Ovis aries: one gene and its partners. The protein of the gene in region 6 interacts with the protein of the main gene of each other region in a biochemical or structural test. Links are inferred from orthologs where the notes say so. Each region holds a gene or a part of one and is shown on either strand. Other genes may lie near its edges. The genes, in order: VDR, NUP98, histone H2B type 1-B, NFE2L2, AKT1, CREBBP and IRF5.

Region 1 (4,340 bases), on a different chromosome or scaffold from region 6:
GGCACAGCCCAGAGACCATGCTGGAGGCAGAGGCCACTCCAAACCATGTAGACAATCTTCCTTTCATGACCTTATTTATTATTCTTTTCCCACCTCTCCACCCCTTCCCCACCAGCTGCTTAAAATATTTTTCAAACAGAAAAATCCAACCACAGCTGGAAACCAACCCTAAAGTTAGTCCAGAACGTGGGAGCTGCCCGGGAAAATTGCCGGAGCTCAGGCGGGGTTGTGGGAGGCAGGGCCTCAGCCACGGAGGCAGCCCGGCTCTCTGGGGGCCCCAGAGGGACAGGAGACCAGGCAAGAGGGCCCTCGGGTCCCATCACCATTCCACACAAGGTCAGTGAAGACTCGTGGTGGCCGGGCCCTGGGCTGGGGCCCTGAAGGGACACAAATCAGCTTAAGTAAAGGGACCTCTCCTTGAGGAGCAACAGGCTTCAGGAGGGGGTAAGGCACAGGCCCTCCAGTGACAACAAGAGCGTACGCTTAGAGAGCGTTTCCTGCGTTCGAGGTCCAGGCCTAAGTACTTTTACAAATGTGGCTCCCAGCCCTATCAGGGCTTCCCTGGTGGTCCAGTGACTGAGAACCCACCTGCCAATGCTGGGGACATGGGTTCGATTCCTGGTCTTGGAAGAGTCCACATGCCACAAGGCAGCAAAGCCCATGCACCCCAGCTACTGAGCCTGCGAGCAGCAACTACTGAACCCTGCACACCCTAGGGCCCACGAGCCACAGCTGCTGAGCCCGAGGGCCGCAGCCGCTGAGGGCCTGCTCCACAACAAGAGAAGCCACCACAAGGAGAAGCCTGCTCACTGCAGCTAGAGAAAACCCAGGCACAGGTGCCAAGACCCAACACGGCCAAATATTTACATGAAATGTTAAAGTCCTATCAGCCCTGTGCAGAAGGTACTGCTGTTCTCCTCATCTTGTAGAGGAGAAAACCGAGGCACACAGAAGTTAGGAAACTTCCACCCACCATAGCACTATAAAGGCTAGAGCCAGAATCTTGGCCCAGGGAGCCAAGAATCCATGCTCTCAGTGCTGTACTCTGCCACCTCTGTACGTGCAAAGGCAAGGCAAGAACCCCATGAGACAGTATAAACAAGCTAACATGAAGATTCAGAGATGGTCCCCCGCAGAGGGTCAGAATCAAGGAGGGCTTCGTGCAGGAGGTCGCACAAGCACCACTTCTGGAAGGAGAGTGGGGACTTTGGGCCTTTCTCAGTGGCAGGGGCAGAAGGTATAGAGCAGAGAAAGCTGAGGCAAGAGCAGACAGAAACGGGACGCAGGGGACCCAACTCCCAGCATATGACCCCCACCACTCGAGAGGCCACCCCCACTCCTGCCCAGTGCCCAGAGAGAAAGAATGCATAGCTGAACCGAGGCCCGGCCACAGTGACCACGGTCTGGATTCACCCTCCGTCTCTCCAGCATCCCAGGCTGCGTTCTCGCCTCCCTCTGACACCTCCCATCCAATCCTCTCACCCTTCCTGTTTGTACTGGTCCCCTTGCACACCTGTTCACAAGGGTGGGTGAGAGGCCAAAACTACTAAAAATTCTCTATAACACAAATGTTTGGTGGCATTTAATTTAGACCAAAGTCACCAAGCTATCTTGTGCCCATGCAGCCATGTGGCCTCAGGACCCCAAGAGATAGGGTGGCAGGTCCCTGGGCTGGACACCCCTTCTCTCTGCCTTGCCTCCACTTATCTCTGAGGCCTCTTCCAGTCACGGGGTCTGAGCCTCAGTTTTCTCTCTGGATCTGTTTGGTGTGTTGTGTTTCAGGACTGAAGGCCTCGTGAGCACAGAGTACTCATCTCTCTTCTCCATCCCTAAGGCTTGCCATGGAAAGACCAGCTGGGTGGATGCTCAAGGCTAATTCAAAGCTGGCGGCATTGGCCAGTCTCCCGCGCGCCTTCCATGTAAGCTTCTAAGAGCTTGTTGGTACTGAATCACCATCACCGTAATATCTGATAATAGCTGCCGTTTACTGAATGCTTATTGCCTGATGCACAGTAATCTAGAAATGTCTCATGGATTAGCTCATTTCATCATTTAAACAATGCTACATATGGTTGGATGGCATCACTGACTCAGTGGACGTGAGTCTGAGCAAACTCCAGAGGTGGTGAAGGACAGGGAAGCCTGGTGTGCTGCAGTTAGACACGACTTAGTGACTGAACAATATATCAGGAAGCTGAGGCCCAGAAAGGGTTAAAGGCGGTGCCCAAGGTCACACTCAGGTGCAGGGCTTCACAGGGAGGGAGGGAGCACCCGGAGGGCAATGACTGTGTTTTGTTCCTCATTGTCTCTGCCCCAAGTCCCTGCAAGGCTGGCCTTTACTAGCACAGGAGAAGTGCGAAGACAAAGCTGTGAATTCTAAAGAACTGCCTCCTGTCCGGGAATCTGTGAAAACCACCTGCCCCAGGCCCATGCAGTGGAGGGCTCTGAGTCCTTTCTCAGCTCTGGGCCAGCTCGACTCCAGTTGCAAGGACCTACCTGTCCCAAGGTGGGCCTCGCCTGGGTGCACGGAGATCCCAGGATGGGCAGCTGGCTCCTTCTGGTCCCACCAGGCAGGCCAGGCCCGGTCAGTGCCAGGCCTGTTGCTGAGGCACTTCAGCTTTGGGTGGACTCCCCTCCTCGGATCCTGGCTCCTCCTGAATCCTTCTGTGGAAGCTGCTGCTGCTGCTGCTGCTGCTGCCAAATTGCTTCAGTCATGTCCGACTCTGCGCGACCCCATAAACGGCAGCCCACCAGGCTCCCGCGTCCCTGGGATTCTCCAGGCAAGAACGCTGGAGAGGGTTGCCATTTCCTTCTCCAATGCAGGAAAGTGAAAAGTGAAAGTGAAGTCGCTCAGTCGTGTCCGACTCCTAGCGACCCCATGGACTGCAGCCTACCAGGCTCCTCCGTCCATGGGATTTGCCAGGCAAGAGGACTGGAGTAGGGTGCCATTGCTTTCTCCTTCTTCTGTGGAAGCAAACAACCCCAAACCTCTGCCGGTGTTAAGGCTGATCCTCAAGAACCGAGGGCCAGGCTCCTGGGCCTCTTGCGCCCCCTGGTGGAAGGAACAAAGTAGTGCCTATGCCTGCAACTGCTTTGTGAATCCAACCTTCCCTTTTCTCTCCTCGCTCCATCCTCTCTCCTCTCCTCACCTTCATTCACTCACCCTTGACTGCACGTCCACTGGGGGCTGGGCACCTGCCGTGAGATGGGGATGCATACCGTGTCCTGTGACTGTGACACTGTGCTTGTCCTGAGGTGCTCACCTTGTACTCACTTAAGTCGTTCCCTCATCCTACACACAGCTGCGGAGCTTCTACTCTCCGCCAGGCTCTCCTCCAGGCGCCAGAGACGCCACCTCTCCCCACACGGAATTGACAGTCTAACAGGACATTCAGCCTGGTTAACAGAGGGTTATAATGGAGAAAGCGCAGGCGCTAGAGAAGAGACGGATGTGAAGACAGCAGCGCTGACGCCGAGCAGCGTGTGCACGGGGGCGGCAGGAGAAGACCTCAGAGTGACATCTGGGCTGGGCTTGGGTGGCTGTGTGGGATCTCTCCGGGAGTAGGACAAAGGGTGTGGATTGGGTGGGGCAGGGAGGAAAGATTATCCCACACAAAGAGGGCAGAACTAGCGAGCACATAGAGTCCCGGCATGTTTAGGGAGCTACAAATAGCCTGCTGTGGTCAGAGCGTGCGGTTAGAGGGAAGAGGGCAGCAGGAGAATGGAAGGGCCTTGCAAGCTGTGGAAGGGGTTTGGGTCTCTTCCTGCAGCCTGTGAGGAGCCACCGAAGGTTTTAAGAGACAAGATGATACCACCACGTTCGCGTCTTATTTATGGTAATTAATTAATTAGGATGTGCCAGGTCTTAGTTGCGGCAATGTAGGATCTTTGATCTTAGTTGCACCATGTGCGATTTTTAGTTGCAGTATGCGGAGTCTTAGTTGCTACATGTGGAATCCAGTTCCCTGGCTAGGGACTGAACCCACGCCCCTTGCATTGGGAGTATAGAGTCTTAGTCATTGGACCACCAGAGAAGTCCCTGCATTTTATTTAGAAAAGGACCACTAGACCAATGGAATGTGGGCTATAAGAGCAAGCACCAGGGGCTCGTGTACTCCAGCTGGGTGACATGGATTCACTTCTCCAAGCTGCAGACTCCTCATCCATCAAAGGCAGTAATGATGCCCCATCGGCAGAGCTGTTGAGGGGACCAGATGAGACTGTGTGGGTAGCGCCTACCCCCGTGCTGGACACATAATAGACACTCAGTAAACGATCATGTTTTTTGAAGTCAGAAAGCCTCCTAGGCAGGCTATTACAACTGCTTAGGCAACAGATGT
Region 2 (3,826 bases), on a different chromosome or scaffold from region 6:
CACTAAAAGAGATAAGAAAAACTTTAAAATAAAACAGGAAATTGCTTTCCTGGAAATTTGGCAAATTTCAGGGGAAAGCAGAAATCTGAAAAGTTTTATACATGATAGGAAGCAACATTTGCCCCTAGAAAACAATAAGGATAGTGTTAGAATTGCACAAAGAGTACAGTACAGAACAACTTGTTGATTCTTCTAAGGTCTGATAAAAATTAGGAGAACTGAGCTTACTATCTAAGCCACACTCATAAGCAAATAAAAACAAACCCCTAAACAAAACACAAATGCTTTTTTTTTCCCATACAACTTTGTGTCTGCACCACTGATCATAGTTTGGAGTTGTCTGCTACAGAAGTTGACTCAGCTTAGAAGAAATGTGAAAAGCCAGACTTTACAGCTTTCTTGTAAAAGAGCATCTTTTACAGTACCTAATGAACGAGGTTTTGATGAGTGAGTTGCTGAGATGGGGAGCCTGGGAGAACATATTTCTTGAGAAGTATCTGCTTTAGAAGGAAGGTGAGTGATGCGCTGATCCAAGACTGTATCTACATCTTCTTCATCAGCAAGCAATGATGCTTTCATGATCTAAAAAAGCAATATCTATAGAATGAATGTGCTCCCCCAAATCCAAAGGCCATAAAAGAAAAACACAGCTTACAACAACCAATTAAAAAGCTCTGCCTCAGGTCATGTCCAGAGCTAGTACAACATTTGTGTGTCTAACTCTGTTATACTGTATGTGCCTGAAGGACAGAAGTTACATAAAACTTCTGTGCTTTGTATATAGTATCACCAGAGGCTGGCACACAGCAGCAGCTTACATATTTGCTGAATGAATTAATTTTAAAGTCAAATATAAGCCAAAGGCTAAATTCATATAATGACAAAAGGCATAAGCAAGGAGAAATTGAGACAGTTTAAAGAAACCTGTAACTATAATTAAAAAACAAAACAAAACAAAACACTTCTGTGGAGCACTTTCCAGAGCCTCAAAACCTCTTTGTAAATGAAGTTAGTATTTTATAGAGAAAAATCAGTGCTCACAGATGTTAAACGACTTGCCCAAAGTCACACTGTAATAGTTACAAAACTGGGCCTAGACTCTAGGTCTTCTGAATCTCAATATAGCCTTCCTTCCACCAATGGCAAAATGATGCCTGACATGGGCCATATTCCTGTTTTTTTCTCATTCCAGTGACTGTTCAATGCCCTTAAAGGACTAATGAAAGAAAAGGCCTGGTATTAAGAGAGGAAGATGAATACTAGTTTGGATTCTTATAATAAGGGTGGGTTAGGACTTCACCTGTAACACATGTGGATTAATTCCCAGTGAAGATGCAATGTGTGTTGAGGCGGACACGGGTTCCTGATCCTCAGGCACGCTCTCTTCTAACATGGAATCCAAAACTGGCTCCTGGGTGATATCTACCATGTCACTGTCCAGTTCCACAACCCTCCCTAACTGCTCCACCTCTGGGCTCTGGCTCTGTAGACAGCAGAAAGATCAGGGAAGCAGCATTAAATGACACCAGATAGACATAGAGCTTCTAGACCATATTTACTTTATTCAAAATATGATATAACATTAGATTCTGCCCATTCTATCATCATGTGAAGTAATATATTTGCTAGAGTATTGAAGAACAATTTCCCCAAAATTCCTCTATTATTACTTGGGATCCAAATGAAGATTCATGGAATTACCCTTTTATAATATTATGGTCTGGAGCCTGGACCTAAGCCAGCACCCATACTGAAAAAACAGTCAACTTCAGACTATGATTATGCCTTACTTGATTTAGTTAGCAACCATAATTTTCTGATTTATACAGAGTTACCATGACCTCACAGTGCCTTGCAGCCAGAAGCCATGGGGAGAGAGAATAAAAGACACAAATACCAAAGTTTCTAGTACCTTTGCATTTTCTTAAAAGCATTTAGAAATAAATTTCTAGTTATCACAAACACAATTTGGGGCCTGGAATTTATTTTTTGGGAGACTGAATCCTAAGGTTAGCTCCACCTATGCAGTATCACATGGATATTGTATCAGATGTAGAACGTGTTTCCCAGAAGAAAAAAAAACAAAGTACTACTAGGAGCAATTTTAATCTGGGAATAATTCTTTCAGGTTTAAATATGTTTAAATGTATCAAGAGTTAGATTTACAATTATTAGGGAGTTTTAAAGATACAGTAATGATTAATAGTCTATTAACAGTTTGAAAAGGTAAACATTCAGAGAGCTGAAACATACTGTAAAATTGGCTCAGTGCAAATTCACATTAAATATGTCCTAAACTCCCACATGATCTGATAAAATGTTAACAAATGGCTATGCTAATTTATGACACATTCTCAAAGCTAAAAGTTGTTCTACCTTTTTTTCTTTCATAATATATCATCTGTAGATTACTAACCTTCCACAATTTCTGGTTTGTCTTTCATGAATGGCCTGTTTCACAGTAGACTTCAAATGGATCCAATTATACAATAGGTGGTTAAAAAAAGTTTCATGATTTCTTTGAACCAAGAAATGACCATTAGTGTAACTTTTTAAACTTTATTTTCAATAGTATATTACCTCTTACTCCCGTGAATTCCTTTAACAAATATCCTTACTAAGAGAATGACTACTGCCATCTATAGCTGTAGAAATGTTGAGGTGTTGGATATGTAGTGAATTGTTACTTATGTTGTGAACATTCCCTAAAGACTGCTCTAACAAAACTGAAGGCTAAATGGTTAAAAGACAAAAGTTTTATATATATATATATATATATTTAAACCTATTGGGGAGGCTACAGGCAAGCTACTTTGATGCTTTAAAATTCCAAAAAAAAAAAAAATTTAAAAGCCCTGGTGGTGATCCTACCATTATAATTAGAGGAATTAGAAGAACATTCCAATGCCCCCCCAGTATGTTCATTTTTAACCAATTCACTTTTAAGAAAAGTTATAACACTCCCCATCCTCTGTCAAAACATCAGGATACTCTTTTCTGTTGGGCTCCCATAATACCTTGTCTATACCTATCTTATACAATGTATATTATAATTTCAGGTATATATTATTTTTGTCCCACCAGATTGTAAATGCTTGAAAGCAGATATAGCCTGCTGCTGCTAAGTCACTTCAGTTGTGTGTGACTCTGTGTGACTCCATAGATGGCAGCCCACCAGGCTCCCCCGTCCCTGGGATTCTCCAGGCAAGAACACTGACTGGGTTGCCATTTCCTTCTCCAATGCATAAAAGTGAAAGTGAAGTCACTCAGTCGTGTCTGACCCTCAGCGACTCCATGGACTGCAGCCTTCTAGGCTCCTCCGTCCATGGGATGTTCCAAGCAAGAGTACTGGAGTGGGGTGCCATTGCCTTCTCCGCAGACATAGTCTACTATTTTCTGTATCTAATACTAACCACATTGTTAAATTCACAACATTTAGTTATTTAATGCAGTGCCTGCCACACAGGAGAAAAGGCTAGTAACTATGAAAGGATAAGGAGCAAGTATAGATGAGAGGAAAGGGAGGAGGAGGAGAGTTTCAATTTACTGTACTATTCAACAAAGGACTAACAAAAAGAGGTGCTCATTTAGAACACTTTTAGAAGCAAACTGGTAGGATTTAATCAAAGTCTGGAGACTGAGGGACTCAAGACTATCTTTAAGAATGCTATGCAATCAAGGTTTTATTTGCTTCCTCCTCATGTACTGACTTCAAAATTAGTATCATCTAATAAGTGGATGGGGAAGTGAATTACTATTAAACTATGAGGACCTGGTAAACTCCTAAAACCCTCATGTGTGAATTTTAAGTATATCTAAGTAATTG
Region 3 (3,889 bases), on a different chromosome or scaffold from region 6:
AGGATTTGAAATAGTTCATCTGAAAATCCATCACCTCCACTAGCATTGTTCATAGTGATGCTTCCTAAGGCCCATTTGACTTCACATTCCAGGATGTCTGGCTCTAGGTGAGTGATCACACCATCGTGATTATCTGGGTCGTGAAGATCTTTTTTGTACAGTTCTTCTGTGTATTCTTGCCACCTCTTCTTAATATCTTCTGCTTCTGTTAGGTCCATACCATTTCTGTCCTTTATTGAGCCCATCTTTGCATGAAATGTTTCCTTAATATCTCTAATGATCTTGAAGAGCTCTCTAGTCTTTCCCATTTTATTATATTCCTCTATTTCTTTGCACTGATCCCTGAAGAAGTCTTTCTTATCTCTCCTTGCTATTCTTTGGAACTCTGTATTCAAATGGGTATATCTTTCCTTTTCTCCTTTGCTTTTCACTTCTCTTCTTTTCACAGCTATTTATAAGCCCTCCTCAGACAGCCATTTTGCTTTTTTGCATTTCTTTTTCTTTGGGATGGTCTTGCTCCTACAGTGTCATGAACCTGCATCCATAGTTCATCAGGCACTCTATCAGATCTAGTCCCTTAAATCTATTTCTCACTTCCACTGAAATAATCATTAAAGATTTGATTTAGGTCATACCTGAATGGTCTAGTGGTTTTCCCTACTTTCTTAAATTTAAGTCTGAATTTGGCAATAAGGAGTTCATAATCTGAGCCACAGTCAGCTCCTGGTCTTTTTGCTGACTGTATATAGTTCTGTAAAATATCAACTATTAGGAAGAAAGGAAGGGGCAAGGAGAAGGAAGATAGAAGCAAGCAAGCAGGCAAATAATAAGTTCTACCCCAGGAGATAATTTTGAAGAGACTGAGATTATATTACCACTAAGATCTCATCCCTCCAGAGAGCAATTCTGAAACTGCAGCTTGAGTTCAATTTTTCTTTCTTTTCCCCCCAGAGATGAGTGGAGGGGGTTACAATCTAAAAACCAAGATTTTTAACTTCTAAGACAAGCTTCTGTTTCACAGGTATGTTTTATGTATGCTGAGACAGGGAAGTCTTCTCATATAGCAGTCACCTAATTTGTGTGGGATCTGGGAAAAGTTCATTTAACTCCAAAATTTAAAAGTGGTCTTTTTGAGAAATTCTACTTCGAGTTTTTATTTCCTTATCCAAACACACTGATGTATGTCACCTAAATATGGTGCTTATAAACCAAAGAAAAGACTTTCCCCTACCTTTTTAATATGCAGTCAACCGCTGACTTTTCGTGGCTCTTCCCCTCATCCAGCCCCACTGACTCCTTTTCCACAACCAAGGCCCTTCCTATCAGGATTATTTTGGGAGTAGTATGTTCTCTTAAAAAATTTTCCCAAGAAAAATTAGCACACCTTCCTCTCCACCTGGGGCCCTCCTAGTCTGCAAATGAGGTGACACCAGATGGGGAGGTCAGAAAATTCAAACCATTTCCCCTCCTAGAATTGGGAGTGCCACACTTTCAACCTCTTCTAGTGCCATCCCAGGAAGGTAAATGACCCAGGAAACTGGAACCCAGATATCAGGAATGCAAGAAAAATGGAAACGGCTTTACATTGGCTGTTTCCATCACTATACAATTATAATGAGAAATTAGAAAATCTCATTTCAACCATGTGCAGAGTTTAATACCTTATAAAAGTGTCCGCGGTTTGCTAAAGGAACAACAGGTGATTTTGCTTAGTTTCCCCAATAACAGGGAGAAAACCCCACTGATTTGCCTTCCCTGCAACCTGCCCTGAAAAGACAACCTGCATAAAGATGCCTTGAGGATCGGGACCCTGAAATCCCCCCAACCACTTCCTTACCCGGAAGGAAAATTCTAATCACCATCAAAAATTTTAAGAGGCCTCGTGAAGAGTGAGCATTTCCAAGCATCTGGATGCTTAGTCCATGGGAAACGGGAAGATGTGTCTTTCGGGGAACGTCTCTTAAATGCCAAGAGACTTTTCAAGTAGCTAGAGGTTCTGGCTCCAAAATTGCTTCAACTATTAACCCCACTAGAGTAGATGTAGATGCTTAAATCAATAGGACAGAATTGCATTTACCGCGCGAGAAAACGGCAGTTACAGTCTTTCTTCGACAAAGTGGGTGGCTCTGAAAAGAGCCTTTGGATTAACTGCCTATGCAGGCACTCATTTGGAGCTGGTGTATTTAGTGACGGCCTTGGTACCCTCAGACACAGCATGCTTGGCCAGCTCCCCGGGCAGCAGCAGGCGCACGGCCGTCTGGATCTCCCTGGATGTGATGGTCGAGCGCTTGTTGTAATGCGCCAGGCGTGACGCCTCGCCCGCGATGCGCTCGAAAATGTCGTTCACAAAGGAGTTCATGATACCCATGGCCTTAGATGAGATACCAGTATCTGGATGGACCTGCTTCAGAACCTTGTACACATAAATAGAGTAGCTCTCTTTACGACTGCGCTTGCGTTTTTTGCCATCTTTTTTCTGTGCTTTAGTGATGGCTTTCTTAGAGCCTTTTTTAGGAGCGGGAGCAGATTTAGACGGCTCAGGCATTGTTTTGCCCTAGAAACGTTAGATGATAGCCTCCGCGACTAAGATTACCAGTATGAGTTCAAAAACCAGATATTTATAGCGCTTCAATGTAAATGAGGAATGAAAAATTCTCACTTTTGATTGGGTAAGATCAGTACAGGTTCACTAAGGTCTGGAGGGAGGGGTTTATGCAAATAAGGGATACACATATTCTCTTTCTATTGGATAGAAAAACCTTCGTCCTTCTGACCAATAGGAGACCTAAGTGGCGCATCCCTCTACTGTCTATTAAAAAAATATTTTTATCCCCCCTTGGTCGTCCAGGGTTTTTTTTTTCCTGCTCACAAGTTTTGCTGTTGAGTTTTACAAAGTAACTATGTCTGGACGTGGTAAACAAGGAGGCAAAACTCGAGCTAAAGCCAAAACTCGGTCTTCCCGGGCTGGTTTACAATTTCTAGTGGGGCGAGTGCACCGCCTGCTCCGCAAGGGCAGCTATACCGAGCGGGTTGGAGCCGGCGCTCCGGTGTACTTGGCGGCGGTGCTGGAGTACCTGACGCCTGATATTCTGGAGCTGGCGGCAACGCGGCCCGGGACAAAAAGAAGACCCGCATCATCCCGCGTCACCTGCAGTTGGCTAACCGCAACGACGAGGAGCTGAACAAGCTGCTGGGCAAAGTCACCATCGCTCAGGGCGGCGTCCTGCCCAACATCCAGGCGGTGCCGCTGCCCAAGAAGACGGAGAGTCACCACAAGGCGAAGGGGAAGTAAAGCCTAGACAAAAGAAGAAACTTTTTAATAAACTATTCAAAGACTTTTCACAGCCATCCACATTTTTATTAAAAAAAAAAAAAAAAAGCTGGTAGCCAGGTTATGCTGCGTAGGTGGTTAATTGTAAAAAGACAAATGACATTAAAACAAAGACTCTGGAAATGTTCTCACAAGCATTATTTTACTGCATAGCTGGCGAAACCTTTGTAATCCACAAGGGCCTTTATAAAGAGAAGGGGAGACTAGAGCGGTACTTAGTCTTGAGGATAACAAAAAGCAATTACTCTTGCCAAGATTATTTTTCTCTTGCCTTTGCTTTCAAAATTTTAAAACAATCCCCCCGCCCCCCCATGGAAGTTTATCAGGATCCAGTGTATATATGTCATCAATTCCACCTTTGCATGCATGTGATTTTTTAAAATCATCCACCCAGGGACCCTGGCATGTAGTTTTACAGAAGATAAACTCAGAATTAGGGGAGATCTGATGACCAAAGTTAGAAAGTGGTAGTCCTGGTAGTTCGAGATTTACTTAAAGCTGACCCAACTGTGGGGGAGAAAGATCAATTGTATTCAATTTAGGATTGGAGCAGAAATA
Region 4 (4,626 bases), on a different chromosome or scaffold from region 6:
GAAGCAATTATCGTACCGCCTGGCACACAAGTAAGTGTCCAATAACTCATCTACGATTATCTGAGTGCCAAACTCCTGAATCCAAGAATATGCACTGACGAGTGAACCCCAGATGAAGGAAAAATCAAAGAAGAAATATTTACGCAAACCCCCCTTTAAATGTGTTCCGCCAGTAGAGAGGAAATTCCCCGGGGAAAAAAAAAGTGCTTCTAGCCCACAGAGGTTTCTTTTTCTCATGTAGCTCTGTAAGTAAAATTCGTGTATTTAGCTTTCAATTCTTCCTGATTATCCTAAAGAAAGTCAGATTTTGGGGTTTCCCCTCCCAGCACTGTTTATAAAAACCCAAGTTGACAAGAAAGAGTCCAAAATGGCCCATGCTACTTTTAATGCAGACTGATGTGAGTTACGTTTTTATCCTACTACAATCTTTCACAATCTCTCAAGAGGTTTTTTTCCAAATATCTAAAAAGTCAAGTTGTTCTTTGCTCAACCTTCTGGAGATGAGAGGGAGGCCTTATTTTTCTTTGGAAGTTACCTACCTAGTCCAAGATCAACTTCATTCCTCATATGCAAAAATACTTTCTCCAAGACAGCTTTGAAAAGGGTAGATGATTCCTTCCAGAAGCTAATGGAAATTCAGAATGTAAAACTCTACTGCTCTTCATCAACACCTCCTTTGCACAAAGGGGGAAGAACTTTTACCCCCGTACCACCTCCTGCCTGGTGTTTCTTTGACAAGAGGTTAGAATCCACTTATGACTCTGTCCAAATCTTCCTGGACTACAAAGATTTAATATGAATCTTAGTTACAGGCATGACATTAACTCTAAATTTTATTCCATTTTCTTTTATACTCTTCGCATATGCAAACTGAGGTCTGATTACAAAGGGTGGAAAGGGAGTTACCTTAACAAACATAATTGGAAAGTTCACATTTAAAAGAAAAAGCAGTAAAGATGTTTACCCACTTTTGTATATGGAATGGTAAATTATATAGTTAAGAAAGAAATAAAAACTTCAGTAATATACCCCTCTAGGCTACATTCCTGAATCTGGGAAAACTAGAGTCCATTAGCATCATATATCCTTTGGTCATATAGATTATTAAAGAAATGGCTATAGGGACTGAACAGCAGCTGAATCGGAAAGCACAATTTATTTCTTCATATCGTGGGGAGGAAGGAACACAGTCTTAATCACTACTGGGGGAAAGTTCAAGACAACAGCTTCCAAGGGAAAAAAAAGGCACAATCACTACATTGTCAATATATCAAAACCTTACTTCAGGATTAGTCTAAAGCTTGATGTTTAAGAGCTTAAATATATTTACCGTTCCTATTAGGTTACACATTTCCTTGAACTAAATATTTTTCCAAAAAACGCATTCACACGCACAAATTGGAAATAAAACTATCTACTCCTTTAAAAAGTCCCTACAAAATATACACAGAAACTTGTTCCCACATTTGCGACATTTACAGAACTTGTTAGCGAAGTTTTATGAGACACAGCTGTCCCACCCTCTGCCCTCTCAAAAGCAACATACTAGGAAAGCAATTGAGGCAAATTCTCAAACAGAAAAGGAAAACTACATAAAGCACCCAAAAGAGAAACAATGTATGAAAGCGCAACATTTAGTAACAGCCTAAAAACAACAGAAATGCTAATCTACACTCGAAATTCTTACCCTTGACAGCAGAGAACAGAATATCCTGCCTTACACATTTTGGAATTGCAATTCCGAAACGCTAAATCCAAAGACAAAGCCGCCCTAGGGAAAATAACAATTGCGCAACAGATCAACAGCTCCAACTTGTCCCTTGGCCCCGGCGCGGCAAGGTTTGCACGCTACAAAGCAGGAAAGGGCCCACTGAGGGCCGCCGTGACAGCCAACCGGCCACTGTCACGGCGCCGGGACGACGCTCGCGGCGTGCGCCACCGGGAAGCACAGCGCCGGGATCGAGAAGCCCCGGGGAGCTGGGGTGGGGTGGGGGGCGAAGGCCCGTCGGACTTCAGAGTCCACCGCCCCACCCGCCCTTGCCGGCGTATTGCTAGGGGCCGACTCAGAGTTCTAAGAGCCCGAACCCTTCCCTCGGGGCGAGGCGGCGCGCAGGGCAGGGTTCGATCGCCGTACGTCGGGGAAACCGAGTGCGCTGGGCGCTTGGTGACCTCCTCCTGCCCCCACCCTGGGAGCTGGGCATTTTCGCCAAGCGGCCTCAGGGCGATCGCAAGGCTGGAGTGATTGATCACTCTGCCTAAGAGAACCCTCAGCAGGGTAAGAGCGCCGCGGCTCGCGCCCGCGGAGGTCTTGAGCAGAGGAGCAGCGGCAGAGGAGGGGTTCCGGGTCCCAGCCCGGAGACCTCAGTTCCCCCGAGAGTGGCCCCGTGACTAGGCACATTTTTGCCGGCTCCGAGGCGGGGGAGCCGCGCAGCCCCGGAAGGGCCGGGCCGCGCCGGCTCAGACCGCCAGTGTCCGCCCTCTCCTACCCGGTTGCCTCCCGGCCGCTCAAACTCGGAGAGGGGGCCGGCCGCGGCTCCAGCATCTCGGCTCCGGCGACCGGGGACGCGGTTAGAGACGCACTTCGCCCCCACGCGCGCTGGCGTAGCCCCCCAACCCCAACCCTACCGCCCTCGGGGGCTGCGGGCGCGTTGTCAGTCACACCATTCCCCGCGCCCCCATACCCCTCGCAGCCCTTGGGGTCGCCACTCCCCTCCCCCGGCCCCAGCTCAAGCGCGGCGGCTCTGGTGTGTGCGCGGCAGCTGCAGTCCGCTCCGGCCACAGACGGGGAAAGAGGCCGATGCGGCTGTCCCTCCCGGGCCGCGGCTCCCTCGCGCCCCTGCTCCCGTCCTGGCACCACCTGCTGGGACGGCAGTCCCGGCGGGGGCAGCTCCAAGTCCATCATGCTGAGCTGGGGACGGTGCTTTGAGGCTCCCCGACGGCGGCCCTGTTCCGGCTGCCGAGGCTTGGAGCGGACACGGCGGTACTGGTGGCGGCGGCGGCTCCTGGGGGATCCTAGGAACTCGCTTCTCCCTGACTTGGCCGGAGTCGCCGATCGGGCTCTTGTCCCGCTCCGCCTCCCGCCCCGCGAGGGCGGGGCGAGAGCCCAAGGCCCTTCCTTCCCCAGCCAGCCGCCCGGGCCGACCTTCCGAAAATCCCCCACCCTCGCCGGGCTGACGCAAGAAGCTGGCCGTCCTGGGGCGGGAAAGAGTTGCGGGCGGGGGTCTCAGGGGCGGCTGCGGGCAGGCAGAGTGCCGGAGGAAGGCCCCCGAAGCTCGCCTGCCTCCGCTGTCAGTTTGCCCTTCTAGCGAATACGGCCATCGCTCCCCGCCCGTGGGATTGAGTTGTTTGCCGAAGGTCGCTGGGGTTCGGGTGCTTTGAAACAGTTTAAACAGTTGAAACAAACATGCTTGGAGACTCGGCAAAGGCGATGGTATCGGAGCTGCGCCTCCCTGCTTTGGATTTGCAGAACCTTGCCCGGCTTTCTCTCTCCCCACCGCCCGAGAGTGGCGCCAGCCCGGGGGGTGGGGGCCGGAAGCCGGGACCTGGGCCCAGCTCACGGCGAGCTGCCCTCTCGCTCCGGCTCAGCCAGTGAGACTGGCCCGGGGGAAGAGTGGACCGCGCGGGGAGCTCGTGCTCGGTCACCCTGATCGCCCTCCACTTACTCCCACGCCTTGCACTCTGGCCAGGCTTCAGTCCCCGAGGGCGAATGGAGAAGTCTCTTTGGATCGGAGAGTGGTCGAGCTTGCCCATCCGGAGCATTCTCTTCCCACCAGAGTGCACACGCCACACCATAGATGGCGATTTTTAACCCTGTTCGATATTACAAACGTGTCATAACCTCTAGAAGTTTTCACGTACTCAAGATACGATTTTAAAAACAAAAACGCAAAAAACAAGTTATAAAACTGTGTAGTATGGACCCGTTCTGTGAAAGCATGTACCTAGAAAAAAAAAAGTTCTTCAAAATATTACTAGTAATATTAATAGTTGCAGGACCTTGAATGATTTTTATCTCTTTGTTACTTTAAGTATGTTTTAAATCTACGATAAATGTGTATTATTCACTGCACCTTAAAAACAATTATTTAAAAAGTAGTCAGTGCCCAGAGCAAACTTCAAGTACTTGAAAACAGGAATATTGTGAAATCTTATGATTTAAAAAAGAATAGAGAAATGGTTTAGTTTTGTTTTCTCTTATGCAACAGCACTCTTTCTAGCTCTTTAACAAGCCTGATTTTCAGTTTATCACTTCTTCGAATTATGCAAAACCAGGTGGAGTAGACAGTGTCTGGCACTGGTTTTACTATTTCATTCAAAAACCTGACGCCAAAAAAAGAAAAAGAAAACCATAAAAGCCTGACTACAGCAGACCAACGCCCCCAAAGCTGCAAAGAACTTACTTTCTCTTGGTTGCGTAATTTGACCCTCCCAGGACTTACCTGTTGATTTATATGTTGGAATATTTCTTAAGGTAAGTGAAGCCTAAATTAATTGCCTGTAATTGAAGTAAGTTTCTTCAATTTGAATTAAACTTTCAGCTGTTAAGTGAGAAGGCTGCAAAATGATCTGCACACTAACAACAAGCTCAGGAGAAGTGATTTACAGTGAACCTGACATGGAATATGC
Region 5 (3,826 bases), on a different chromosome or scaffold from region 6:
AGGTAATCCAGGGCCGACACGATCTCGGCGCCGTAGAAGCGGGCCCGGTCCTCGGGAAACACCCGCTCCCGGGACAGGTGGAAGAAGAGCTGCGGGACGAGAAGCCTGAGCCGGGCCAGCCGCCTCGGCCAGGGCCGCGGGGCAGAGACCCTAACCCGGCGGGGAGTGGGGAGGGCGGCCACCCCCCAGCACCCGGGGCTCAGAGAGGGCAGCGCAGGGGCAGGGCCCTACCTCGCCCCCGTTGGCGTACTCCATGACGAAGCACAGGCGGTCGTGCGTCTGGAAGGAGTACTTCAGGGCCTGTGAGGGAAGCAGAGCTCGAACCTGGCCCTTGGCTGGGCAGGGGGTCTGCCCCGTGGAGCAGGAGACCCCCAGCTGCCCCAAAGGCCATGCCCGAGGACCAGCAGCTGCAGGTCCACTGACCACGTGGAGACTCCCCTGCAGGATGCAACCCACTGCCCTCACGCGTCAAACCACAGGCAGCCTCACTTCAAAAGAAAGACTGCTACTGATGGGATGGCCCCCAGCTCATGAAGATACCGACGTGAGACCCTCCCCCACGTCCTGCTCCATCCCCCATCCCCAGGGAGAGCCGGAGGGAGGCAAGCGTCCCCAGGCAGAGCAAGTCCGGATCCCTACAGGACTTGAGGTGGCCGGTACCCAGTGGAGGGCATGACAAAGCCTGGCCTTCTCCTCACAGTCCTCTGGCCAGACAGAGGGGAAGGGGCAAAATGAAGCGGAGGCGGCAAAGCCACGGTCATGATAACTCTGGGCTGGGCGGACAAACAGTGTCTGCTCTTAACGCCTCACACTTCTCCTGAGAAAACATCCTAGGAGCCTGCCTGCTGCTCGGCTCTCCCCGCGCGTTAGACCAGGCGTCCGCTGGAGAGCAGACACCGTGCTGAGCACAGTGGTCCCGGGGACAAGACTCTGGAGGCTGACCCGGTCGCCTGACTGCTGACCTGGGAGCACGGCCAGCCAGGCCTGGCGGCTAAGTCCAGCCAACGCCTTGCTGCTCGGGTTTTCCTTACATCCCTCCTGGGCCGAGTTCCCCCAGGACAGGGAGCGCCTGCCGGGAGCAGCAGGGTGGGCGCGGGGAGTGCAGCCTCCCGGGGTCTCAGCAGGACAGAGGGAAGCCGGGAGCCCCTGCCCGCTCTGTGCACCCCCACGCCGCTCCCGCAGGCCCGCCCACCATCGTCCAAGCTCCGAGCCTGCTGGGTTGGCAGGGAGGACGGGCTGGGGTCCCCAGGGGCACGGGGGGGGGGGGGGGGGGCGCGCTCACCGTCAGGAACGGGTGCCGGGAGTTCTGGAGAACGCGGTTCTCTGTGAGCGTGTGGGCGACCTCGTCCTGCAAGACGGGCACTGCTGAGCCGCCTGCCCGGCCCCGGCCCCCCGGCCCCCCCCCCCCCCCCCCCCCCCCCCCCCCCCGGCCCCCGCCCCCCCCCCCGCCCCCCCCCCCGCCCCCCCCCCCCCGCCCCCCCCCCCCCCCCCCCCCCCCCCGCCCCCGGCCCCCCCGCCCCCCCCCGCCCCCCGCCCTCCCCCAGCCCCGCCCCCGCCCCCCCAGCCCCGGCCCCCCCGCCCCCCCCGCCCCTACTTTGGCCACGATGACCTCCTTCTTGAGGATCTTCATGGCGTAGTAGCGGCCTGTGGCCTTCTCCTTCACCAGGATCACCTTCCCGAAGGTGCCTTTGCCCAGCAGCTTCAGGTACTCAAACTCATTCATGGTCTGAGGGCAGCGTGCAGGCGCCAGGATCAGGGGGCTGCACGCTGACCGCCGGCGGCCCAGCAGCGCTGAGCGGGGCCGGGGTCTCCGCGGGCAGCCTCGGGCCGAGGACGGTGAGGCTGGGGCAGCGGGCGGGGGGGAGGATGGTCCTTGGGGGTCCGGGGCTCAAGGGAGACTGCAGGGCTGTGCGCCCCAACTGGGAACGCTGGGGTCCGGGGGGTGGGAGAGCCGTTCCCAGGCCTCCCTGCGCCCGGCGCGTCGCCCCCGCTTCCGTGCAGGGGCTGGGAGGGCGGTGTGGGGCAGGGCTGGGGCTCACCACGCGGTGCTTGGGCCTGGCCAGCGACACCTCCATCTCCTCGGCCCCCGAGTTCTCGCCGGGTGAGCCCGACCGGAAGTCCATCGTCTCCTCCTCCTGCCTCTTGAGCCCATCGGCCACCGTCTGGATGGCGGTGGTCCACTCCTCCCTGCGGGATGCTCAGGTGAGACCCCAGCTCTGCCCGGGGCCCGGGGCCTCCCCGGCCGCGGCGCCTGCGCTCCCTACCGCTCCTCGGGCGTCTCCACGTGGAACGTGCGCTCGATGACCGTGGTCCACTGCAGGCAGCGGATGATGAAGGTGTTGGGCCGCGGCCGCTCCGTCTTCATCAGCTGGCATTCTAAGGGCAGGCAGCACCTGTCTGCACAGCATCCCGGCCCACCCACCGCAGGCCAGACCTCTCCAAGCCTCAGTCTCCCGCCCTGTAAAAGGGGGCCAGAGCTCCCTTCCAGCTGGAGCCCTGCTGAGAGCTAGGCAGTGCCCCTGAGGGGGTGTTTGCGACTGGACGGATCCATCTCCAAGGCCTGTCCTCTGGTCTCTGAGCTCCCCAGCCACCCAGGACATGGTCCTCAGCCAGGAGGAGGATGGGGGACCTGGGGGGCCTGAGGAGGGGCTGGCGGGGAGGAGGCCTCTGGGAGAGCTGCTCCCCAGCTTCCCGAGCAGGAGCGTCCCACCCCCCAGCCACACGAGGACCAGCGGGCTCCCGGCCCCATCTCAGCGCAGGGCCAGGCCCGGGATGGAGGCTGGCAATGACTCATCCTCTGGAGAGGCCACCCGTCCACCCCAGAGGCCGCCTGGGCTGACCCTCTCCACGCTGCTGCCCACAACCCCGGTGCACGCAGGAGCGGAGACCGGCTGGCAGGCCTGGGAGCGCACGCACGCCTGGAGCACACGTGCCCCAAACGCGCACACCTGCAGAGAAGGAGCTGTGGGAGGGCCCAGGGCCCGGAGCGGGGCTGGGTTCCAGCTCGGCCGGTGGAGGCAGGAGGGGCCTGGGGCCAGTGCAGGGGCCTCCGACATTCCAGCGTCTAGGCCCTGGCAACCGCGGGGGCCCCGCCAGGCTCAGCCGAGTGCAAGGAAGCAAGGAATGGTCTGCCAGGCTGGGGACCAGGGCGGGGGTCTCCGGGGTGGTGGGGGTGGGGAGTGGTGCTGGGGGCCCACGTCTACCCGGGGCAGGAGAGGGAGGAAAATCTGTGCGGCAGCCTTCGGGGTCCGCATACCCTCCTCCATACTCTGCCCACCGGAGACCACCAGGAGTCCCCAGGACCCAGGCCCATCCAGGGCCTGACTTCTCGCCCCCCACCCCGGCAATTCCTCCTCAGTGAACAGCCCCTGCCGCAGAGGCCCCCGCGGAGCCGCCCAGCCCTCCCTGTCCGCTCTGCTCCTCCTCCTGTGGCCTAAGGCCTGCCTCAAGCCCCTGCCCCACCTGCTGCTGGAAGCCCCTCTGGGTGGTCCTCACCTCCCATGTGTGTCCTGACGGCCCCCACACTCCCCTGCGCTGAGTTTGGGCAACACTCCCGAGGAACCTCCTTCCCCACGAGGTGGCAGCTGCCCAGCTGAGCATCCTTCCCAGGCCCAAAGCCCCCAGCCCAGCCCCGGGGGCCCCGTGGGGAGCCCAGACTCACGGCCACGGGGCTGCCGGAGGGGACCTGCCTCCTGGGCCTCCCCCCGCCGCTGTTCTACCTGCTGCTCTGCTGACACCCGAGGAGCCTGGGAGGAGGGTTCAGGGCTCACAGGAGCCAGTCCCTGGTAAAGCACCCCAGGGAGCCCCCAGCCAGGGCCTGGTCGGG
Region 6 (3,826 bases):
CAGTACATTGCTGAGAGACCCCCAATCTCTTGCCTAGTTCATGCGCAGTCACTCTCTGGAGACAATGCTGATCTGCCAATTTATCCACAAATCAAACACAACAATATTTTGCTATTAACAATAAGTGCTTGACCAACTCAAGAATAATATGATTTTGAATTCCTAATCTTTAAACTACTAAGTACAAAAAATTTTGATTAAAATAATGAAGGAGAAAAAAAAGAAAACTCCATCGGAATCGAGTTGATTAATGTCACCCTTCATTTAACTTAAATTGCTGGAGAAATCAACTATTAATTTCCCATGTTAATTGTATGATGGTATTGTGAAGCCATCCGTATTTACTAGGCCCAAATTCCTGCAATTCTCAGGGCTCCCCACAACTATAGCCTTGAGCCATAAAATAAGACAAGCTTCTGAGTGAGTTCCAGCTCCCCATGCACTGAGAGTTTAGAAAATAGGCCTGCCCCTGTGACATGGGTCAAAGTTCATATTCCTTTCCAGGATCCACTGGGCACTCAGAATCTGGGATCCTCCAGCCTCCCTAAACAAGCACGTGATCCCCTTCAGTTGCAAGGGTATGATCACCTGGGACACAAAAGAACACCTGGGAGTTAAATCAGATACCCAGGAAACTGCAAAACTATCACACTGCCATCAGTCACAAAGTGCTTCCATCACATGTGAGTAACAGGCGAGAGGGCCACGTACAGTTTATGCACTAGATGGCTCCGCAGGTCCTGAGTGACGTGTTCATGCCAGCTTTTCCGAACGCCAGTGCTGGAAGGAGGTGCTGCTGCAGGTATAGTGCTAAGGGTGCCAATGTTCCCAGAGTTTGAGCCATCATTCATCAGGGGGCTGAGGGGAGAGGAAGAACAGGTCATCCAACTGGAAAAGTGACTCACATGACATTCATCCAACTAAGGGTCTTCAACCATATGTGACTTTAAACTCTGTTATCTGTTAGAAAGAAAGAAAGAGGGAGGGAGGGAGGGAGGGGAGAGGGAGAGAGAAGGGAGGGAGGGAAACAGCCCTACACTTTAGAAAGAACCAAGAGTTCTATGTGGTTCCCAGCCCACTTTAACATGTGACTGTCACTCAGACAGGAGCCAAATGAAACAAGGGTCTTACTTTGTAGCCCCAAGGGAAGTTGGAAGAGCTGATTCTGAAATCAAGTTTGGTGGCTGCTGATCTGTTGTTATTCCTCCTGCTGGAATGTTCATTGGGTTATTTCCTGAAAGACAAAAAGAAAAGGAATCAACGAGCTCCTAAATTATACACCTCAAAGTCCTAATAACAGATAAGTCACATATAAAGAAATGATTCTTATGAAAATTATTCTTATGACTCATAATAATAAATGCTATGGCAGGAACTCTGGGAGTTATATTTTCAATAATGGTGGTCAAATTGTATAAATTCAATTGCTTCCCATCGCACTTGAAAACCAAAGAAGAGCATTTCTACGGAGGCTGGCTGGCAGCATGAATGCTTGGCGGCTATGGAAAAAAATCAGAAATGATCCATCTGCAGCTTCGGTTTTGATTCTGGCTTCATTCCCATCACATACACTTCTTCATCTTTTTGTTTTGCATATCAGAAGATAAAAATCATAGAAATTAACTTCACGTGAAGAAGACAAAAGGTCAATTTGTCTACAGTATTCGTTCTAAAGTAAGAGAAAGGTGGGATGCAGGTTAATAGTCTTGTTCCAGATTATACCACCAACAGAAGTGGTGTCAGACTGGAAGGGACATTTCAAGACTCCAACCCAGTCTTCTAGCCAGCAGGAGTCAGAGATGCATTAGGGCAACTATTTCCCAACACGCAACAGATGAAGTATCTTTAAAGTGAAAATACTTTATTAGGAAAAGAACCAAACCACCACAACAACCCTGTTCTGAGATCCCTGTTAGCTTGGCCGGATTCAGACTGGTCGGCTCTAGTCACACGTAGTCCACAACCAAGAAATGCTAGGAGCTGCAGAGTCAAGGCAAGTGGTACTGCCCTAATTCCAACCTGTGAGATTTTGCATTCTGAGCCATGTGAAATGCCCTTTATGAAAACTATCCAGACACAAGTGACAAAAATGTTGGTTCATTTGCAAATGTGATTCATCTTACAAGCCTGTAACATCTTCAGTGTACCTGACTCTTTAGCCTTTTCCTGGAATTTTTTTATTTTAATCATTTAAAAGACACCATTCACCATAATATATATATTTGAATTTTATTACATATATATATATTTAAATTTAAAATTTGAATTTAAAGTAAAACAGTAGCTGAAAACAGCCCTGGGCTCCAGAAGGCTCGTCATTCCCGACACTGCATTTGCACAAGGAAGTTCTCGAGAGTCCTTTCACCTACCCAGGGGGTTGAGACTCCTCATCTGCTGGTGAGTTTGAGGCTGTGCTGGTTGCTGGCCAGGAACCTGAGGCTGCAGCTGCGTCTGGGGCTGGTTCAGGTAGGGGAGTCCAAGAGCAGCATACGCTCGTTGCATGGAGCTGGGGTCTATCGGATTTGGGTTACTTAAAGAAGTGGCATTCTGTTGGCCGGTGCCAACAGAACCAATGGTGTTTTGAATTCCACTAGCTGGAGACCCCAGGATGGCTATAAGAACAAACAGACAAACACAAGAGATAAGTAAAAGGGAAAAGTCTACAAGTGAGTTAAAAACGACTGAAAAACAAGTAAAATTTTATCAGAAGACCACCTATGTATATCATGAAGCACTGGAACCCCGCTACCAAGAAAGGAACTGTGCAGACAGAAGGAGCCCATTCTATTAATTTCATCTGCACAGCGGCACCCGAAGAACAAAAATCTGAAGAGAATTCAAGCTTCTATGTTAGAAAACAACGGACCAGAAAATCAGCGATCACACAGTCAAGGTCAGCGTGTATTAAATGTAGAGGCTCATAAGAAGTCTGTTCTGGGGAAACAGCAAACATGGGAAAACATGGGGGTCATCAGCCTCCACTGAGGCGAGCTAAGAAGCCCCTCCTGCTGCTGCTCCTCGGGGTCCCTCACTGCTCAGTGCACAGGCACAGAGGAGGAAGAGGAGGAGGAGCGGAGGAGACGCCTAGTTGGTCAGTTCTGTTACTTATTAACCTAATTAATATCTTAATTACTAAAGGTATCAAGTAACAGTAACTTAATTACGATCTCTGACACAATCTTCCAAAAAACAAAACTGCATTTCCTTGAACCCATGGTGTACAGTGACCAGGCAACACCACGCCTTTCTCTGCTCCGAGTTTCCTACGTGGGAGGGCACGATGCTAAGCTCTCTGCTATGTGAAGCTGTTCAAGAAATACCGTGGCTGACTGAGGAAAATCTGTAGCAACATAAAGAGCTCCATTCCCAAGGGCTTCAAAGTTAACAGAGAAGACCCAAATACCCATCTGTCCGTCTGTCTGTCCATCGTCCAAATGTCCTAATCGATTCAACATATGGCAGAAGTTCTGCATCATACCACTGATTCTTATTTTTAACAGTTCCTTTCTTTCCAACTTCCCCAAACTTCAGAGCCATGTCATAAACAGCAGGTTATAAAACTGATACTATAACATAAGATCTTTGAGACATAAAACACTATCACAAAATTTTTCTTTAAAATTCAGACCATTACTGTAATAATAATATCTTCACATCACCATCAGCACAATTATAATATAAACAACTCAAACACTTATCCGAGTAACTTAACGAAACCAAAATGTGTTTAAAAAAAAGCCCTTGATAATTACATATTCCATACTATTTAACTTTTCTAAGAAGAATATTCAGATCTCAAACTCATTAATGCTCATTAGACACAATT
Region 7 (4,568 bases), on a different chromosome or scaffold from region 6:
GAGAGCCAGGGTGTGGCTCGGGGCAGCTGGATCCCAGAGTCTAGTGTCTCGCCAACAAGTTCCCAGAAATGGGAGTGAATATCTAAGGGCCAGGCCAGCCCCGGGGAAGCCTGACAGCCCGGACTGAGGGAGGGTGTGGGGGCTGGGTCCTGGGCCTGTGTTGAGGGGACGGGTCTAGAGTCGGGAGGGGGTCTTGTCCGGCTGCCTGCAGGACCTCTAGGTTCTCTCCCCACCACTCACACTGGGCTTTCGGTTCCCTTTGGTGATGTGGCTCCCCCCACCCCCAACCCTTGCACATACACACACGCACTGTGGCTTCAACCGGAATCAGGCCTCTCACCACACCCTCAATCTGATGCCCCGACCAGGGGAAGTGGGGGCAGGGGCTGTCTCACCGTTGGAAATGAGAGGCGTGGACACACATCTCTACCAAGGCTCCCAGCTGTGGAGGCCACGTCTCCTCGTTCCCCGTGTGCCTTGGCCCCACTGCGGGGGAACTTGGAGTGATCACATGGGGTCCCTGGTTCAGTCTCACTTCTCCTTTGCTTGAGCCTCACCATAAGTCAGCATCCGGAAGCAAGGGGACCCTTGAATTTTGGAAGAGTCTGAGAGATGCTCTCTGTCCCCACCCCGTCCTCCTGATGCCGTGTCTTTGGCCCAGAGTGCTTCTTGGTTCGGGTTCCCCTGAACCTGGGGAAGGCAGGACCCAAGGGATGTGGAGCCCTTGCATAGCCCCTGGCCCTGGAACTTCATGCCAATGCTGCGATCTCAATAGTACCATCATCTCCCCTTTCACCGCAGGAAATGAGATTCACAGGACCTGCCTAAGGTCCCTGAGCTTGAACACAGCGGAAGTGGATGCAAGCTCAAGGGCAGTGCCCCCTCTTCTACACATGGCCTCCAGAGGATTCTTTTTTTAAAACTTATTTGGCTGTGCCAGGTCTTAGTTGCAGCAAGTGGAATCCAGGTCCCTGATCAGGGATTAAACCTGGGCCCCCTGCATTGGGAGCGCAGAGTCTCAGCCACTGTACCACCAGGGAAATCCCCCAAATGGTTTTAGACCAAGTTCAGGGGCTCACAGGGTGGGGGGCCTCACCTGAGGACTGGGGATAGTCGTGGGGGTGGGCAGAATCCTAGTTCTAGTCTCCCTTAGACTGTGTGTGTGGGACATTTAGAAGATTCTTCTTGACAATCATTCCAGATATATTTTCTAGTCCAACATAGAATACTTCCTATTAAGCACGACTCACCTCCAATGAAAAAGGTTTGTATTTTGGGGGGAACTATTTTCAATTTAAATAGCAGTTTCACTTTTAAAGAAAGAAATACAGAACAATCTCCCTATCCTCATTTTCTGCATTCACACTTTAAATCTTAAAAATCTTAAGTAGCGACATATTCAACAGATACAAATAATACAATACTTATATAAGATTATATTTCTATTTTATATTAGGGCTACAAGAGTTGGGGAGAAGGAGAGAAATGCAAGAGAGGAGAAAAAGGACAGCACGTAACGAGCAATGAAACAGATCAGGGGTGAAGATTAACCCAGGTATTTCTACAGAGATGGAGGTGGGAAGGGAAGGTCAAAGTTCTGATTCATCCACTAACTGCTACCCCTGTGTTTGTTAAAAATACAGGCACTAAACTTTAATGGGCAAAGAGTACTTTCTAGAACTTATATATTTTAGTTTCTATCTAAGATGTAATCGATTGACATAAATTTCCTTCATATAAAATTTTTTTATTAAAAATTACTATAGAAAATAGGAGATGAAAAGACAGGCATGGTTCCTGAGTAAGCTGATTCTAGTGGAAATCAGACATTAAACTCCTAAGTGAAAACCAGTGAAGATAAGCCTCAGGGTCTGGGAACCCTACCTAGGAGACAAAGTCAAGGTAAGCTTTTCAAAGGAGTGATGCTGAAACAAAATCTGAAGAGGAGCAGGAGTTCCCACGCGAAGATTGCTCCAGGAGTGGTAACTGGACAATGTGAGGGCTGCAACCAGCGAACGAGGCCTGCCTGCGGAACCAAAAAACGTTCAGACTGGCAGACGGATGGTCAAGGTAGCGGTGAGTGAAGAGGTGGGACGAGAGACCAAGGTGCTGACCCACAGAGGTCCCCAAGGCGATCAGGGACGGGGAGCAGGGGCAGGCAGGTGCGAAGGTTAAGGATCAGAAAGAGAGTAGCCTGACCATCCCTGTCTGTAGGCACCTTGTGGAGGGAGTGTCTGAGTCTGGATGCCAGTGGCTGGGTACTGGGCGACCCTCGGAAGGGTTCGCGGGCTCGTGGGGCGAACGCCAGGGGCTACTACTACCCCCACCGCGCTCGTATGTGGATCGGTTGATCGCCAGTGTCCGTACCAATCTAGAGGTCCCGGAGGGACAGGCTAGAAAGTTCCCGGGCCCAGCCGATCACTATGGCAGAGTGGGGTGGGGGGGCTGAGGTTGTCGAACGACTCTTGCGCCTCCAGATTTCTGACGGAGCCCAGCAGTCCGTCCAGGCCACCGCGCTGCCGCGCATCTCCGCCAGGCCCTGGGCTGCAGGGGAACCAGCCTGGCCCGGGGCTCAGCCCCGTCCCTCGGTCGCTGAGTCTGCGCGGGGACCCCAGGGTGGCTCTGCGGGGAAGGGCGGGGCGCTGCCGGCGCACCAAGGCTGGGCGGCCGCGGCCCAGGGGCGGGGGCGGGTGATGCGGAAGTGGCGAGCGGGCGGGCGGGCGGACCGGCGCGGCTCCAGGACAGCGCAGCTCGGCCCCACCGCCTGGCCGGGGCTCCCGGGCGCAGCCACGCGGGCGCACGGCAGACAGGTAAGTCCAGGCGGCCGCGCGCTCCTCTCCGCGCCCGCGGGGCACCTGCCGGCGGCGGGCTGGGGACTGAAGCGGTGCGGGCGCGCGGGAGGGGTCAGCGTCCGGCTCTTCCAGGTGCCCGAGCTCAGGGTGGGGAACGCCCAAGGCAGGACGCGCCCCGCCGTTGTGGGGGTCCCCAAGATGCCTCCTATGTCTTGATCAGAGAGGGGTGCCCCGCACCATCAGCCTTGGTCCAGAAGGCACCCGAGGAGCCCGGACGCGCGGGCGGCGGAGTCCGCACCGCGGCCGGGGGCGCCAGCTCTCCTGCTTCTCTCCCCTCCTCTGGCCTTCGCGGAGGATGGGCAGCGCCCGGCTGCCATGGGATGGGCAGCGCCCGGCTTGGGCCATGGAGGGAAAGCCCCGATTCCGCCTAGAATTCTGTACGCTCCGATCCCCCTTCCCTGGGCAGCCCTCCCCTCATCCTTTCCAGTAAGAGAATGAGGTTTAAGAGGTCCATCTCTCCCTGGATCTTAAGACAATGGCAAGAATTCGGGCAGAGAGTGGTTGGGAAGATGGTGTCAGGCGAGGCGCCGGCTGTCCTTTTACTTGCAGCGGAGGAAAGCAGCTGCTGACCCTCCTAAGCGAGAACCACGGACGTGATACTTCTTAGACTAGTTTCTCTACAGCCTTCCCCCGAGCATCAGAAGGAAACAATCGAGAATCTAAAAGTGGAGGGAAAGTGAGACCAGTGTGACCGTGTTGCGGGATAGGAGACGGTGAACACCTGCGCGGCCCGGGCGCGCAGTTGTCTCTGTGGCCCCGGAGGCACCGGATCTGGCCCTGGGGACCTGAGGCGGAGGGGACTTCCCTGCCTTCGCCGCCACCCTGCCCCCAGCAGAGCGGGGATGAGGGCGGGGGCTCCTCCACCCTGAGGAGCGGTCGGAGAGGCAGACCCTAAACCAGCGCTCCGGGCCGGGGAGGGAGTGGGGGTAGTTCAGTGGGCTGGGCCAGGAGGCGCGGCCAAGCCGGGCACCTGCGGGGACGGTCTTGAGAGCAGAGCCGAGTTGGGGCTCCCTGCGCGCCCAGAGCGGGGATGAGTGACCAGGACCAGTAAGGACGAGGCGGGGGGGAGTCGATGGAGAAAGCTAGAGTCTCCCGGGAGAGGCAGCCAGGCCAGAGCAGGGTTATAGGGTTGGATACTGGGGCTCCCAGCAAGTCAAGGGAAGCCTTGGGAAACCACCCTTTTTTTAACCCTGGGGTTTCCCCACCTGCGCCTTGGCCTTACCCCACCGTGCCCCCAGAGGAAGCCGAGGGAAGCGTCTTTCTGCCCTCATCTGCCGCCCTGGAGTCTCAGCTCGTCTCCCCTGGAGGGGGAGGGGCTTAAGGTCTCGCTGGACGCCGGGCACCCATGCCTTCTTCAGGAGTTTGGTGTGGAGTTTTCGGGAAACGTCTGAATCAAATTCAGGAGGTGCAAGGGCTTGCTGATCTCGCAGTGCTGGGGGCTGCAGAGCCTTCTCCCCTAGGAGGTCCCTGGTGCCCACAGTGTTCAGGCTTCCCTTGTGGCTGGCTCCTGGGAGTTCAGGAGTTGCCGGGCCTGTGCACCTCCGGAGATGCTCCTGGGCTGCCCCTTCCCCTATAATAGGGCCTTCCTCAGGTCCTCAGCAGGCCACTCCTCCTTTGATGTTTCCATGGAAGCTGATGTATGCTCATCCCGCCTTCCCCCATCTTTCAGGGCTCTAATCCACAAGGCTAGTCTGGGGGTTGCAAACCTGCACAGCT

What was found.
Region 1: the proteins of CREBBP (region 6) and VDR form a complex in vitro, tested with the Homo sapiens proteins (2 studies listed by BioGRID). The link is inferred for Ovis aries from reciprocal best matches to the Homo sapiens genes CREBBP and VDR.
Region 2: the proteins of CREBBP (region 6) and NUP98 form a complex in vitro, tested with the Homo sapiens proteins (2 studies listed by BioGRID). The link is inferred for Ovis aries from reciprocal best matches to the Homo sapiens genes CREBBP and NUP98.
Region 3: of the proteins of CREBBP (region 6) and histone H2B type 1-B, one has a biochemical effect on the other in vitro, tested with the Homo sapiens proteins (2 studies listed by BioGRID). The link is inferred for Ovis aries from reciprocal best matches to the Homo sapiens genes CREBBP and H2BC3.
Region 4: the proteins of CREBBP (region 6) and NFE2L2 form a complex in vitro, tested with the Homo sapiens proteins (2 studies listed by BioGRID, with this or other methods). The link is inferred for Ovis aries from reciprocal best matches to the Homo sapiens genes CREBBP and NFE2L2.
Region 5: of the proteins of CREBBP (region 6) and AKT1, one has a biochemical effect on the other in vitro, tested with the Homo sapiens proteins (2 studies listed by BioGRID, with this or other methods). The link is inferred for Ovis aries from reciprocal best matches to the Homo sapiens genes CREBBP and AKT1.
Region 7: the proteins of CREBBP (region 6) and IRF5 form a complex in vitro, tested with the Homo sapiens proteins (2 studies listed by BioGRID and IntAct, with this or other methods). The link is inferred for Ovis aries from reciprocal best matches to the Homo sapiens genes CREBBP and IRF5.

Annotation. Positions count from the first base shown.
Region 1 is NC_056056.1:138,634,758-138,639,097, reverse strand, and holds the start of VDR (vitamin D3 receptor), read right to left. Parts: upstream 3,015-4,340; 5' UTR 2,497-3,014; intron 1-2,496.
Region 2 is NC_056068.1:50,094,567-50,098,392, reverse strand, and holds part of NUP98 (nuclear pore complex protein Nup98-Nup96), read right to left. Parts: intron 1,484-3,826; coding exon 1,301-1,483; intron 583-1,300; coding exon 426-582; intron 1-425. UniProt on the Homo sapiens protein: Plays a role in the nuclear pore complex (NPC) assembly and/or maintenance. NUP98 and NUP96 are involved in the bidirectional transport across the NPC. May anchor NUP153 and TPR to the NPC.
Region 3 is NC_056073.1:30,872,163-30,876,051, reverse strand, and holds the start of histone H2B type 1-B, read right to left. Parts: upstream 2,592-3,889; 5' UTR 2,546-2,591; coding exon 2,165-2,545; 3' UTR 1-2,164. UniProt on the Homo sapiens protein: Core component of nucleosome. Nucleosomes wrap and compact DNA into chromatin, limiting DNA accessibility to the cellular machineries which require DNA as a template.
Region 4 is NC_056055.1:132,851,660-132,856,285, reverse strand, and holds the start of NFE2L2 (nuclear factor erythroid 2-related factor 2), read right to left. Parts: upstream 3,051-4,626; 5' UTR 2,903-3,050; coding exon 2,858-2,902; exon of another isoform or gene 2,508-2,857; intron 2,373-2,507; exon of another isoform or gene 2,135-2,372; intron 1,718-2,134; exon of another isoform or gene 1,688-1,717; intron 1-1,687.
Region 5 is NC_056071.1:66,964,040-66,967,865, forward strand, and holds part of AKT1 (RAC-alpha serine/threonine-protein kinase), read right to left. Parts: intron 2,377-3,826; coding exon 2,265-2,376; intron 2,188-2,264; coding exon 2,040-2,187; intron 1,727-2,039; coding exon 1,595-1,726; intron 1,349-1,594; coding exon 1,283-1,348; intron 301-1,282; coding exon 232-300; intron 90-231; coding exon 1-89. UniProt on the Homo sapiens protein: AKT1 is one of 3 closely related serine/threonine-protein kinases (AKT1, AKT2 and AKT3) called the AKT kinase, and which regulate many processes including metabolism, proliferation, cell survival, growth and angiogenesis.
Region 6 is NC_056077.1:3,656,412-3,660,237, forward strand, and holds part of CREBBP (CREB-binding protein), read right to left. Parts: intron 2,613-3,826; coding exon 2,370-2,612; intron 1,235-2,369; coding exon 1,132-1,234; intron 859-1,131; coding exon 712-858; intron 1-711. UniProt on the Homo sapiens protein: Acetylates histones, giving a specific tag for transcriptional activation. Mediates acetylation of histone H3 at 'Lys-18' and 'Lys-27' (H3K18ac and H3K27ac, respectively).
Region 7 is NC_056057.1:94,589,987-94,594,554, forward strand, and holds the start of IRF5 (interferon regulatory factor 5), read left to right. Parts: upstream 1-1,641; 5' UTR 1,642-1,902; exon of another isoform or gene 1,903-2,076; intron 2,077-2,728; exon of another isoform or gene 2,729-4,257; intron 4,258-4,568. UniProt on the Homo sapiens protein: Transcription factor that plays a critical role in innate immunity by activating expression of type I interferon (IFN) IFNA and INFB and inflammatory cytokines downstream of endolysosomal toll-like receptors TLR7, TLR8 and TLR9.